Linked DNA regions of Callithrix jacchus. The protein of the gene in region 1 interacts with the protein of each later gene in a pairwise test. Links are inferred from orthologs where the notes say so. Each region holds a gene or a part of one and is shown on either strand. Other genes may lie near its edges.

What was found.
Region 2: the proteins of REEP6 (region 1) and LITAF interact in binary tests that used the Homo sapiens proteins (3 or more experiments, as listed by UniProt). The two-hybrid records come from large-scale screens. The link is inferred for Callithrix jacchus from reciprocal best matches to the Homo sapiens genes REEP6 and LITAF.

What each region holds. Positions count from the first base shown.
Region 1 is NC_133523.1:1,412,097-1,418,657, reverse strand, and holds the start of REEP6 (receptor expression-enhancing protein 6), read right to left. Parts: upstream 4,332-6,561; 5' UTR 4,250-4,331; coding exon 4,135-4,249; intron 362-4,134; coding exon 268-361; intron 188-267; coding exon 49-187; intron 1-48. Other genes in the region: PCSK4 (proprotein convertase subtilisin/kexin type 4), read left to right, coding at 5,195-5,383, 5,632-5,736. UniProt on the Homo sapiens protein: Required for correct function and survival of retinal photoreceptors. Required for retinal development.
Region 2 is NC_133513.1:17,478,181-17,484,636, reverse strand, and holds the start of LITAF (lipopolysaccharide-induced tumor necrosis factor-alpha factor), read right to left. Parts: upstream 3,873-6,456; 5' UTR 3,669-3,872; intron 1-3,668.

The DNA of each region.
Region 1 (6,561 bases):
CCCGAGCCCCAGGTGCTCCACGGCTGTGCCCGCCCTGGCAGGGCCCACCTTGCCCACGTAGTAGAAAGGGAACCAGGACAGGAGTAGGTCGCTGAAGAACTCGGCCAGGCTGAACAGGGCGTACACCACCCAGTAGGTGAGCCACACCGTGTCGTCGTCCTTGCTTGGGCTCTCGATAGCTTTGATTCTGCCGGGAGACGCGGCAGGGTCAGGGGCTGCCCGGGAACCCCCCCAGCCCCCCACGCACGTAGCCAGCTGCGCACTCACGAAGCATATGCGGGGTATACAAATCCGATGAGATTGCACAGCAGAGACGCTCCGTAGCCGAACAGCAGATACAGGCTTAGCAGAGTGACGGCTCCTGCCGGAGAGAGGAGGCGGTGGGCCGGGGCCAGGGACCCTCTGACCCCCGTGACGGCACCAGGCTTCCTCTTGGGAGTCTGCAACCGTCACCTCCTCCCAGAAGCCTCCGTGACGCCTCTAGGGTGTCACCACTGCCCACAAACTCTGCACCCCCCATCGCGGCCCTAAGCCTGAGCCTTTCACCTGTAACTGGTCCGTGTCTCCACGTCCCCCCTCTCCCGGGGTTGGGAGCTCCCAAGGGCAGGCAGGAGCCCGACGCTGGGGTGGCAGGCAGTGGGGTGGGTGCAGAATAGCTGCCCAGTAAGCGTTTGTCGAGTGAATGAGTGTAATCTGGCCGGGTGCGGTGGCTCATGGCTGTAATCCCAGCACTTTGGAAGGCTCAGGTGGGTGGATTACCTGAAGTCAGGGGTTCGAGACCAGCCTGGCCAACATGGTGAAACCCTGTCTCTACTAAAAAATACAAAAATTAGCTGGACACGGTGGCGCGCGCCTGTAGTCCCAGCTACTCGGGAGGCTGAGGCAGGAGAATCGCTTGAACCCGGGAGGCGGAGGTCGCAGTGAGCGGAGAACTCACCACCACACTCCAGCCTGCGTGAGAGTGACTCTATCTCAAAGAAAAACGATGTAATCCGCAACGATCCCTGTCTCAGTCCAGGCCCGATGGGAGGCCCTGGGAAAGGAGGTCAGTGTTTTAATATAAGGGAAGGCAGAGACCGGAAAGGGAGGCGGGGCAGTCACCAAGACTCAGTGCCAGAGCCGAGAAAGGTAACCGTTTTATCTGCTATCTTAGCATAGGGGGTCATTCTTGGTGGTTTTCCTCGGGGAGGGGGAGAAACCCATCTGGGCACTCCAGGGTGCTGGGCAGTGTCCCTGGCCTCTACCCGCTCTATGCCATCAGCTCCCCAGTCCTGACAACCACAGACAGACATCTGCCAGCGTCCCCGGGGCGGGGGGCGGCACCGTCATGGGCGCAGCAAACCTCAGCTCTCAATGCCCCGGGCGGAGGAGGGCCCCTTCGGTCAGCTGTGCACTCAGTAGCCCGGAGCGAGCAAGGCTCTGGCTGCATGGAGCCTCAGTTTCCCCCTCGGTAAGTGGGAGCAGTAATGGCCCCTGCCTCTTATGGTTACAAGTTAACAAAGAGAACAAACACCCTTCTGCACATTTTATTTTTTTGAGACGGAGTCTCGCTCTGTTGCCCAGCCTGGAGCGCAGTGGCACAATCCCAGCTCACTGCAACCTCCGCCTCCTGGGCTCAAGCGATTCTCGTGCCTCCGCCTCCCGAGTAGCTGGGACCGCAGGCGTGTACAACCCTGCCAGGCTGACTTTTGTATTTTTAGTAGAGATGGGGTTTCACCGTGTTGACCAGGCTGGTCTCAAACTCCTGACCTCAGGGTCCCCCCCCACCTCCTCTGTGTCCCAAGGGCGGGATTACAGGTGTGAGCCACTGCACCTGGCCTTCCTGTACAATTATTAAGCGCCTTCAGGCTACTGTAACACAGTTCTAGTGAGGAGGGTCTTCAGAGAGAAGAGTGTGTGTGTGTCCGCATCCAGCTCTGCCCCAATCCTGAACCTGGCTCTGGAAAGAATGACTGTGACAACTGCATTTATTAAGCGCCTATTGTGTGCCAGGTTCTGTGCTTTCCCTGAACTGTCTCATGCAACAGCCAGAACTGGGCTGGGTGGGTGTTGCCCAAGGTCACACAGGGAACCTCTGGGCTCAGAAGGCTTGGGACAGCCTCCGTTCTCCTCCCCTGGGGCTGCTATCTGCAGAGAGAGATAGAGGCCACTTGCCGACCAAAGGGCAGACGCCCAAGTTCCGCAGCCCAGCCCTCCCCTCGGCCAGCATCAGTCTTTATCGACAAGCACCCAAGGTCGGGGTAGGAGGGGTCCCCCAGCTGGTCCCAGCAGGCTATGCGGCCTCCGGGCCACTGTCTCCTCTGAGTTTCTTCATGTTACCCAGGGGTGTAGGACCTATGGGTTTAAAGGAGGTGCGGGGTTGCGGGGGAGGGGGATACAGGGGGATGAGGGAACGCCACCTTTCCCCGGGCCTCCCTGGTGGGGGAGGAATGGCTCTCCCAGGGCGTCCCTCCCCTAAATCCCTTTTTCTGCAGGTTCAGCACTGGGAGGATGACCTTGAACATGGGAAGTGTGGACGGGGCACAGCCCCCAAGATTAGCAGCAGATGGGACTGGGGTGGGCAGGGTGGAGGGGGCGTATGCTTCAGACAGAGCAGGCACATAGGCAGCCCCTGCCTCCCTGTACCTCAGCCTCCTCCCTGGCAACACAGTGCCCCAGCCAGCCCGTCCCTGCTGCCTGCCTCCTGGGCGCTCTATGACCTCAATTCCCGCCCACTGGCCCCAGGGATGTGGAAAGGGAGGGCAGAGGTCAGGGGCCTGCTCCCCGGGGCAGGCACAGGGGGCCATGCCACCTGCTGTGCTGTGCACATGGGACCAGGCACCTGGGGACCTCCAGGGTCTGGGAACAGATCTCAGACTGTCCTGGGGCTGCCAGGCATGGGAACTCCCAGATGGTGGGAAAACGGGGGAAACTGGAGTCCTGGGATCTGCCTGCAGGAGGTGCTCAAAAAAGTGGCACTGCCCGCTACCCACTGCGCCCCAGGCTAGAGAAAATCCTTGTGAGTTACTCTGCCAGGCTCCCTGAAAAAGAAGGCAGGGCCAGTGGGGCTGGGAGCACCACACAAAGGGAAGAAAGGCTGGGTACAGTGGCTCCCTCCTGTCATCCCAGAGCTTCGGGAGGCTGAGGATCACTTGAGCCCAGTTTGACACCAGCCTGGGTAACATAGTGAGACCCTGTCTCTTAAAAAAGTTAATTTTAAAAAGTTTTAGGCTGGGCAGGGCCGGCGGCTCACGCCTGTAATCCCAGCACTTTGGGAGGTCGGGGTGGGTGGATCACTTGAGATCAGGAGTTCGAGGCCAGCCTGGTCAACATGGTGAAACTCCATCTCTACTAAAAATACAAAATTTAGCTGGGCATGGTGGCGCACACCTGTAATCCCAGCTACTCGGGAGGCTGAGGCAGGAGAATTGCTTGAACTCGGGACGCGGAGGTTGCCGTGAGCCGAGATCGCGCCATTGCACTCCAGCCTGGGCAACAGAGCAAGACTCCCTCTCAAAAAAAGAAAAAAAAAAAAACTTTTAAAGGTGGAGAGGGAGGCATTTAAGGAGCGATTGCTACATGCGCGCTCTAGACAGTTTTGGAAAGGGGCAGGGCCGCACAGTGTCACCAAGGCGGAAAGGACCAGGAGAACATGGAGTCACAATCGGGGTGTCGGGATCTGGAGCTCCGCGGGCGCCAGTCCAGCCTCCCCCCATCACAGCTGTCAGACGACCCAGCTTCGTCTTAAATATTTACGCGCAGTGGCACTAAGCCATTGAGCCGGGGGAAGGAGACTAGGCCAGCCGGGAGGAGGGTCCTGGGCAGCCCCCCGGTAGCCCCCCAGGGACGGTCCGTTCCCCTCCCGGAGTCCACGGGGGGCAGGGGACGGGGAAACGCGCGGGTCACGGGCATCCCCACCCCCACCCCTCCGGGGCCACCGGGCAACTGGAAGAACCGGACTTCGGCGTGGCGGGCACCCAGCGCCGGGAAGGAGGCTGGAAAGGGGGGCGCGGGCGGACCCCGAGGTCCCGGTCACCCCGCACGCTCCACCGGCCGGACCGGACCCCGCAGCCGGGGAGGGAGTCCGATCCGCGACCCCCGGGCCCGTGGCCTCGATGTGCCCGTCGGCGAAACGGGCGATCGCCGACCGCTCACCTGCAGCCAGATACCGCTTCTCCACCCCGGTCTTGGCCTCCAGCGCCCCCAGCGCGTCGGTGACCAGGTTCCTCTGCTCCAGGAAGCGCTCCACGCGCTGGCTCAGCCCGTCCATGGCCCCGGCGCGCCCGGCGTTGGCTGCTCGAGCTCGCCCGCGGCCCCGCGCGCCCGCCCCGCTGCACGCGCGCAGCTTTCTCGCAGCGGGAGCCGAGCTGTCCGGGCCCCGCGCCGGTGTCCGCCCCCGGCCCCCCGCCCGGACCAATGGGAGGGCACGGCGGACAAAGGAGGTGGGGCCTGCCCCGTCTCCCCCGCCGCATCGCCCTCTGGGGGGGCTGCGGCCGCCACTGCGCAGACCCCGCCTGGAGAGGGCGGGGCGCACCAGTTCAGGGCACCGATTGGCCGGGCGGGAGCGAGACGTAGCTGATTGGAGGGGCGGTGTCAGGGGACGGGATTATTGGCTGCGACGCTGAGGGGGGTGGAGCTAGGGTGAGGCGCGGCACGCGGTGGAAGGAGGAGCCTGTGGGCGGGGCTGGAGAAAAATCCGAGCCGATTGGGGAAACGGTACGCGATTCATTGGTGAAGCCGGAGGAGGGGCGGTCTGATCCGTAAAGGAGGCGGGGCTGATTAGTAGGGGCGGGGAATTGGGCGGGGCTTATTGGAGGAGGCGGGATTGCTCGATAGAGCGATTTTGATTGGGCCGGATAGGAGGCCGGGCTGATTCTCGAAGGAGGGGGTGTGTGGGAAAGTGGGCGAGGCCAAAGAAAGTGCTGGACGCGTTACCACGAGTGACTCCCCTTCTCTGGTTTAGATTATTGTCGTTGTACAAATGGGGGAACTGAGGCTCCCGAGGCTGTGGGTCTGCGGAAGGCCGGCAGGCGTGCCTCCTTCCCGCTTCTGTCAGATCTTCGCGCCTCTCGGCGGGGGTAGCCTCAAGGCCCCCTGGGAGTCGAAGCCTTCCGCGTTGCCATGGCGCCGGGGGCGTGGCGGGCGCCTGGGCCCCCTCGGCGGTTTGGCGGGGGAGGGGCTTGCTCAGGTCCCGCCCCCTCCCCGCCCCGCGTCCATGAGGCCCGCCCCGATTGCGCTATGGCTGCGCCTGGCCTTGGCCCTGGCCCTCGTAGGCCCCCTGGCTGTGGGGTGGGCCTCGTCCCGGGCCCCCATCTATGTCAGCAGCTGGGCCGTGCGGGTGTCCCAGGGGAACCGGGAGGCCGAGCGCCTGGCACGCAAATTCGGCTTCGTCAACCTGGGGCCGGTGGGTGGGACCGGGATGGACAGGAAGTGGGGGCTCGAGGGGACTGGACGGCCCCAGACCCCGACAAGTGGGAGGGAGCCCCCAAGGTCTCCTAAGTATCAAGAGCCCCAGCCCACCCCTGCATCAGCCAAGCTCAGTTTCTGAGGGCACTTGGTGGGGAAGGACAAGGCAGGGGGGTTTCCCGGCCCTCGGGGGCTGCAGCAGGGGAGCCGGGTCCCATCCGTGCGGCCGCTTCCCCACATCCCCAGATCTTCCCTGACGGGCAGTACTTTCACCTGCGGCACCGTGGCGTGGTCCAGCAGTCCCTGACCCCGCACTGGGGCCACCGCCTGCGCCTGAAGAGAGACCCCAAGGTGAGCCTGGCCTGGAGGCCACCCCCTCGGGTCTCAGCCGCATCCTGGGGCCCTAGCCACCTTCTGTGATTCTCGTGGCTCTTATGAACGGCTGTGTGCTTTCTGTGGCTCGGACCCACCCTGATCTCAAGTCTGTGTGACAGGGAAGAGCAGGGAGACCCAAATACAGAAATGATGATGCCTACCAGGGCCTGGTACACAGCGGGCACCTCTTGCCCTTCCCCACCTCCTCTGGGCCCCAGCGTCCCTGGTAAGGAGGGATAGATGGCATGCCTCCCCCACCATCTAGATCAGAGGATGGAGGGAAGGGGGTTGGCTCATTTTACAAGGAATGGGTTCCCAAGCGTAGGAGGCTTGAAGTTACCCAGTGCCCTCAGGACGCAGTGTCCGGATGCTCAGAAAGAGATTGGGTCTGATTGGGCTAGAAAATACCTGAGATGCCAAGCCGATGGGATGAGATGGGGCCTGGGAAGCCTCTGGAGGCCGGGAAGTGCCATGAGCAGGACTGGACAGCTGCCTGCTTATAGCATAGAGAGGGAGAGCAGTGGCTCCGATGTGGTTTCCAAGAGAGAAGCCAGGCTGGGCACCATGACTCACGCCTGTAATCCCAGCACTTTGGGAGGCCGAGGCAGGCAGATCACTTGAGGTCAGGAGTTCGAGACCAACCTGACCAACATGGCGAAACCCCATCTCTACTAAAAATACAAAAATTCTTGGGTGTGGTGGCGAGTGCCTGTAGTCCCAGCTACTTGGGAGGCTGAAGCAAGAGAATCACTTGAATCCGGGAGGTGGAGGTTGCAGTGAGCTGAGATCACACCACTGCAC
Region 2 (6,456 bases), on another chromosome or scaffold:
GCTGAAAGCCACTGGGCTGCACTCCCAGACGGTGAGACATTCTAAGTCACAGGGTAAGATAGGAGGTCATACAAGATACAGGTCTAAAGATCTTGCTGCTGGGCGTGGTGACTCACGCTTGTAATCCCAGCACTTTGGGAGGCCGAGGCAGGTGGATCACGAGGTCAGGAGATCAAGACCATCTCAGCCAACATGGTGAAACCCTGTCTCTACTAAAAATACAAAAATTAGCTGGGTATAGTGGCGCGTGCCTGTATACTCAGGAGGCAGAGCTTGCCGTGAGCCACGATTGTGCCACTGCATTCTAACCTGGTGACAGAGCGAGACTCCATCTCTAAAAAAAAAAAAAAAAAATAGGCTGGGCACAGTGGCTCACGCCTGTAATCCCAGCACTTTGAAAGGCCAAGGCAGGTGGATCACGAGGTCAAGAGTTTGAGACCAGTCTGGCTAACACAGTGAAAACCCATCTCCACTAAAAATACAAAAAATTAGCCGGGTATGGTGGTGTGCATCTGTAATCTCAGCTACTCGAGGGGCTGAGGTGGGAGAATCACAGGAAACCAGGAGGCAGAGGCTGCAGTGAGCCGAGATCACGCCATTGCACTCCAGTCTGGGCGACAATGCCAGACTCTGTCTCAAAAATAATAATAATAATAAAAGACCTTGCTGACTGAACGGGTTGCAGTAAAAGAGCCGGCCAAATCCCACCAAAACCAAGATGGCGACGAGGGTGACCTCTGGTCGTCCTCACTGCTGCACTCCCACCAGCGCCATGACAGTTTACAAATGCCATGGCAACATCAGAAAGTTACCCTATAGTCTAAAAAGGAGGCATGAGTAATCCACCCCTTGTTCAGCATATAATCAAGAAATCACCATAAAAATGGCCAGCAGTGCCCTCAGGTCCGCTCTGTCTAGGGAGAGGCCATTCTTTATTCCTTTTCTTTCCTAATAACCTTGCTTCCACTTTACTCCACCTGCTTCCCCTGAAGGCTTTCTTATAAGAGATCCAAGAACCCTCTCTGGGGGTCTGGATCGGGACTCCTTTCCCCACCTGAAAGGGTCGTTGGGAGGACTGAGTTGGTGCATGCGCAGCACTCACACCCTGGAACACAGGAAGTGCCACATATGTGTTTGCTGTCATTAGTGGCATCATACACACAGACATGTAAGGCCACTTAGCAATACACAGACACAGGCAGAGGGACGTATGGAACCTCAGCAACTCACACACAAATAGGCAGGAATACACATGTGCAGAGACAGGCACTTCTGCACACGTGCACACAGATGAAACCATCTTCGCAAAAATTTTAACGGAAAATTGTCACTGTGTAGGAGATCTGATTTAACCAGCCCCCATCTTGTCTTTCACCTGCAAACTGCTCTCCATCATTCCTGGGCTTGGGACTAACTAACTCTGGGGAACATTTAGTTTATAGTTTAAGTGACCATTTTGGTTTTGGTGTATTGTTTTGTTTTGCTTTGAGAGAGTGTTGCTCTGTTATCTAAGCTGGAGTGCAGTGGTGTGATCTTGACTCACTATAACCTCCGCCTCCCAGGTTCAAGCGATTCTCCAGCCTCAGCCTCCTGAGTAGCTGGGACTACAGGCACGTGCCACCACTAATTTTTATATATTTTAATAGAGACAGTGTTTCACCATGTTGGTCAGGATGGTCTTGATCTCTTGACCTCATGATCCACCCGCCTCAGCCTCCCAAAGTGCTGGGATTACAGGCATGAGCCACCACACCCAGCTTTAGTGCATAGTTTAATGATAATGATTCCCTTCCCAAAACTCGACTGCTTTTGTAAAGCTAACAAAAGACCACCAGGTTAGGAAGCTAAAGAATGAGAGAAAGCTAAATTCTGCTATATGTCGAGATACATGATTACCAGCCATTATTCCAGAGGTCACAAGATTTACGACTTCCCCTGTCACCCCTGCAGATAACATCAGTATTGTAGAATCTAAGATCAGCCTTTTGAAATGTCTTTTCAGGTTTTTGCATTTCTGACAAGTACTGAGGACTCAGCGCACACAAGGACCATTTTCCACACACCTATCATTGTCTCTCCAGCCAATCAGCAGCACTCATTCCTGGCTAGCCAAACTGTCCTTGAACAACCCTAGCCTCTGCATTTTCAGGGAGACTGACTTCAGTCATAAAACTCCAGTATCAGCCAGTCAAGGTGTAATCCTAGCACTTTGGGAAGCCAAAGTTGTTTGGAAAACTCTGTCCCTGTCGTGAAAGCCTTCCCCCTCCCACACAAAGGGACTCCCTTATCTCTCACTCTACATACCGTCCTGGCCTTCCCGCCCGGCCACAGCCACCTCCCGCCCGGCAACCGGCTGACCAATCACCACCCGCCTCATCAGCTCTCCCCAACTTCCTGCCTCCCGGCTTCCCGCCTCCCAGTTTCCTGCCGCCCAGCTTCCCGCCCAGCGGTTTAAACTGACCAACCGTTGCCCGCCACCTCGGCTCTCTCGGCTTCCCCACTCCCTCAGCCCTTCAGCTCCCTATAAAAGAACTCTGCTCCTCTGAGCGGCGCGGCCATTTTCATGTGCTTCCCGGCTGGTCCGCCCGGAGGCTCTTTCCTCTCAATAAAGCCTGAACTTAAGACTTTCTTCTAACCTGCGGCCCAGTTTTTTTCTGAACGAGCTCTGATCTTCCCATAGAGGGTAGGTCGGACAAGTGGTGCCGAAACCCGGGAGTTGGGGCCGCTGGCCCGGCCATGGCCCCCTCCCCCCGACCTACCCAACACTGGCCCTGCCACCTCTGCGCTCCGATTAAGGTAAGCCAAGTTTTTTCTAGCTTTACCTTCTCTCCCCCCCCACCCCTCCTACGGCACGGTTGCAGCTGCTCCCCTCCGGCGTTCCACACGGACTCCTCGCCTAGTCTCGGCCGAGCCGAGGTAGTCCTCCGTTCCGGCTCCTGGAGCCTTCCGAGGGGTAGCTGCCAGACGGGGGACGCCCCTCTGACCACTTCCCTAACCGTCCTTAACCGTACTCCTGGGAATTTGCAACGAAAGGGGACGCCTTTTCTTTGCATCTACCCAACCGCGCCGGAGGGTCTGTAGCTGCACCTGCCATGGGAAATTCGGAGTCCAAAATACCTTCCAGCACCCCCCTTGGGTGCTTGCTGCGAAATTTTACCAAATTGGGATACTCCCAAACCCTCAGAAAGAAAAAGCTTGTCTTCCTGTCCCAGGTGGCTTGGCCCCAATACAAACTCAGTAACCAGTCACATTGGCCCCCGACTGGCACTTTCGATTTCAACACCCTCCGAGATCTCGACAATTTTTGTCGCCGCATGGGAAAAGACAATGAAATTCCTTACGTTCAGGCTTTTTGGGACCTCCGTACCCACCCCAACCTATGTTCTTCCTGCTCCACCTACCAAATCCTCTTAGCTCGTACCCCTCGTAAATCTTCCTCCACTACCTCTCCCCCTCCCTACTCCTCACCGGAAGATCTGCCTGAACATCTGTCCCCTCCTGCCAACCTCGGCAACCAGTCGCCTTCAACAGCACGCCCTTCCCCCACTCCCTCTGCACCTTCTATCTCAGAGGCCATGCCTCGCTCTTCCTCCACTCCCTCTGGGCCCCCTCCCTCGGAGGCCGCTCTTCCTCTTGCCTCCCCAGTGGCAGCCCACACCCGCTCTCACCAACCAACTATCCTGGTCCCACTCCGAGAAGTAGCAGGCACTGAAGGCTTAGTCAGGGTCCATGTTCCTTTCTCACTCCAAGACCTGTCCCAAATTGAGAAACGGTTAGGATCCTTCTCAGCCGACTCGTCCACCTATATTAAGGAATTCCAATACCTCACTCAAGCATACAGCCTCACTTGGCATGATATCCGCGTTATCTGTACCTCCACCCTCACAGTAGAGGAGCACGAGCACATCCTAGTGGCAGCCAAAAACCAAGCAGATAAAGATCATGCTATAGATAACCAGATCCCCTTAGGCCCCGAAGTAATCCCAGGTGAAGACCCCCCAATGGGACTATCAGGCTAGTCGAGGGTCTGATATACCCAAGAGGGACCGCATGATTAGATACCTCCTCAGGGGAATGGATATTGTATCTAACAAAGTTGTAAACTATGATAAACTAAGAGAAATCACCCAACTACCTGATGAGAATCCCGCCCTTTTTCTCGCCCGCTTACAAGAAGCCCTAGTCCGGTACACTCGGCTAGATCCAGCCTCTCAAAACGGAGCCACTGTACTAGCCTCCCATTTTATCTCCCAATCAGCATCCGATATAAAAAGGAAACTAAAGAAAGCAGAAGAGGGGCCAGAGACTCCCATCCAAGACCTGGTAAAAATGGCCTTTAAAGTATTCAATGCCAGGGAAGATGCGGCTGAGGCTGCCCGGCAAACTCGCATGAAGCAGAAGGTTGCCCTCCAGACCCAAGCCCTAGTGGCAGCCCTAAGGCCGGCAGGGAATCAGAGGCCCAAGGCCGAAACCCATACCCCTCCGGGGGCATGTTTCAAATGTGGAAGGGAAGGACACTGGTCCCGGGCCTGTCCACAACCACGGCCACGAACTAAGCCTTCCCCTGCCTGTCAGCTCCTGGGACACTGGAGGTCAGACTGCCCCAGCTTTCCCAGGGTGCCGGTTCCTCAAAACAGACACACTGGCGTTATGCAGCCGGCGGTCACCCTCAGTAGGGAGGAGCCTGCTTGCCAGGAGCCGACCTCCGAGGGGGCTCCATTCCCCAGTCTACTAGAGCTGCTAGACGACTAGCGGGGCCCTGGCTCCCCGACTCTGGTTATCCTCGCCGAGCCTAGGGCCACACTTCAGGTAGCGGGTAAAAGTGTCTCCTTCTTGCTGGACATGGGGGCTACCTACTCCATACTTCCTTCCTATTCTGGCCATCTTACCCCTTCCCAGGTCTCAGTCATGGGAATCGACGGGACCCCAAGTATCCCCTACCAAACCCCACCGCTCATGTGCTCATATAACTCCACTCCATTTACCCACTCCTTTTTAGTAATCCCCACCTGCCCAGTACCCCTCCTAGGACGAGACATCCTTTCAAAGCTAAAGGCCATCATAACCTTCCCCACCGCCAACTCACATAGCCTCTTTCTCCTAGCCCTCACCTCAGATACCGAACACCAAAAAGCCCTATCCGAACTACTCCCCAGAGTCCACCCTCAGGTCTGGGACATTAACAACCCGTCTGTAGCTACACACCACCAGCCAGTTCAAGTCCGCCTTAAAGACTCCTCGCCTCATTTTCTCTCCCGCCCTCAATTTCCCATCTCTAAAGCCCACCGTATGGGTATCCGACCCATCAGAGAGAAACTAAAAGGTCAAGGCCTCTTAATCCCCATTAACTCCCCATGTAATACCCCCATCCTCCCAGTACGAAAACCCTCAGGACAATATAGACTGGTCCAGGACTTGTGCTTAATCAATGAAGCCGTAATTCCCATACATCCAGTTGTCCCCAACCCATACACCATTCTCTCTAACATTCTCCCGGGGACCACCTGCTTCTCAGTCTTAGACCTAAAGGATGCCTTCTTCACTATACCTCTACACCCCAACTCCTACTTTATCTTTGCCTTCACTTGGGATGATCCCCTCACGAACATGTCCCAACAACTGGCCTGGACAGTCCTTCCACAAGGCTTCCGAGATAGCCCGCACCTATTCGGCCAGGCACTCACCACCGACCTACTCCACTGCAACCTCAAACCCTCTCACCTCCTCCAGTACATAGATGACCTTCTTATCTGCTCTCCCACCTGCCAGGAGTGTATCCAGGCCACCACCGCCCTACTCAATTTCCTAGGAGACAGGGGATACCAGGTGTCGCCAACCAAAGCACAAATAGCCTCACCCACCGTCACCTACCTAGGTATACAGCTCACGCCTGGGCGACGGTCCATCACAATCGACCGACTACAAGCCTTAAAAGTGCTCCAGGCCCCTGAGTCAGCAAAAGAAATCCTCTCCTTCCTAGGACTAGTAGGGTTTTTTCGCCACTGGGTACCTAATTATGCTTTGCTAGCTAAGCCCCTATACCATGCTGCTGCAGAAGCCCCCGAAGGACCACTTTCCTCACCAGGTTCTGTCAATCAGGCGTTCAAGTCACTGCTTAACACCCTATGTACCTCCACCAGCCTAGCCCTGCCTAATCCCAACTTACCCTTCCAATTATATATGGACGAGAAACAACACACAGCTGTAGGAGTGCTAGTCCAACCAGTAGGAAAGACCCTTTTTCCCACAGCCTACCTGTCCAGACAACTTGACCCAACTGAACGAGGATGGGAGCCCTGCCTTAGAGCCCTAGTGGCCGCTGTCACCCTAACCACAGAAGCTCTTAAGATCAATCTACAACTCCCACTCCCAGTCTTTTCTCCACACAGGTTGACCGAGCTGCTCAGTCAACACTCCCTGCCCCACCTTGGGCCCTCCCGTATCCAACTGCTTCAC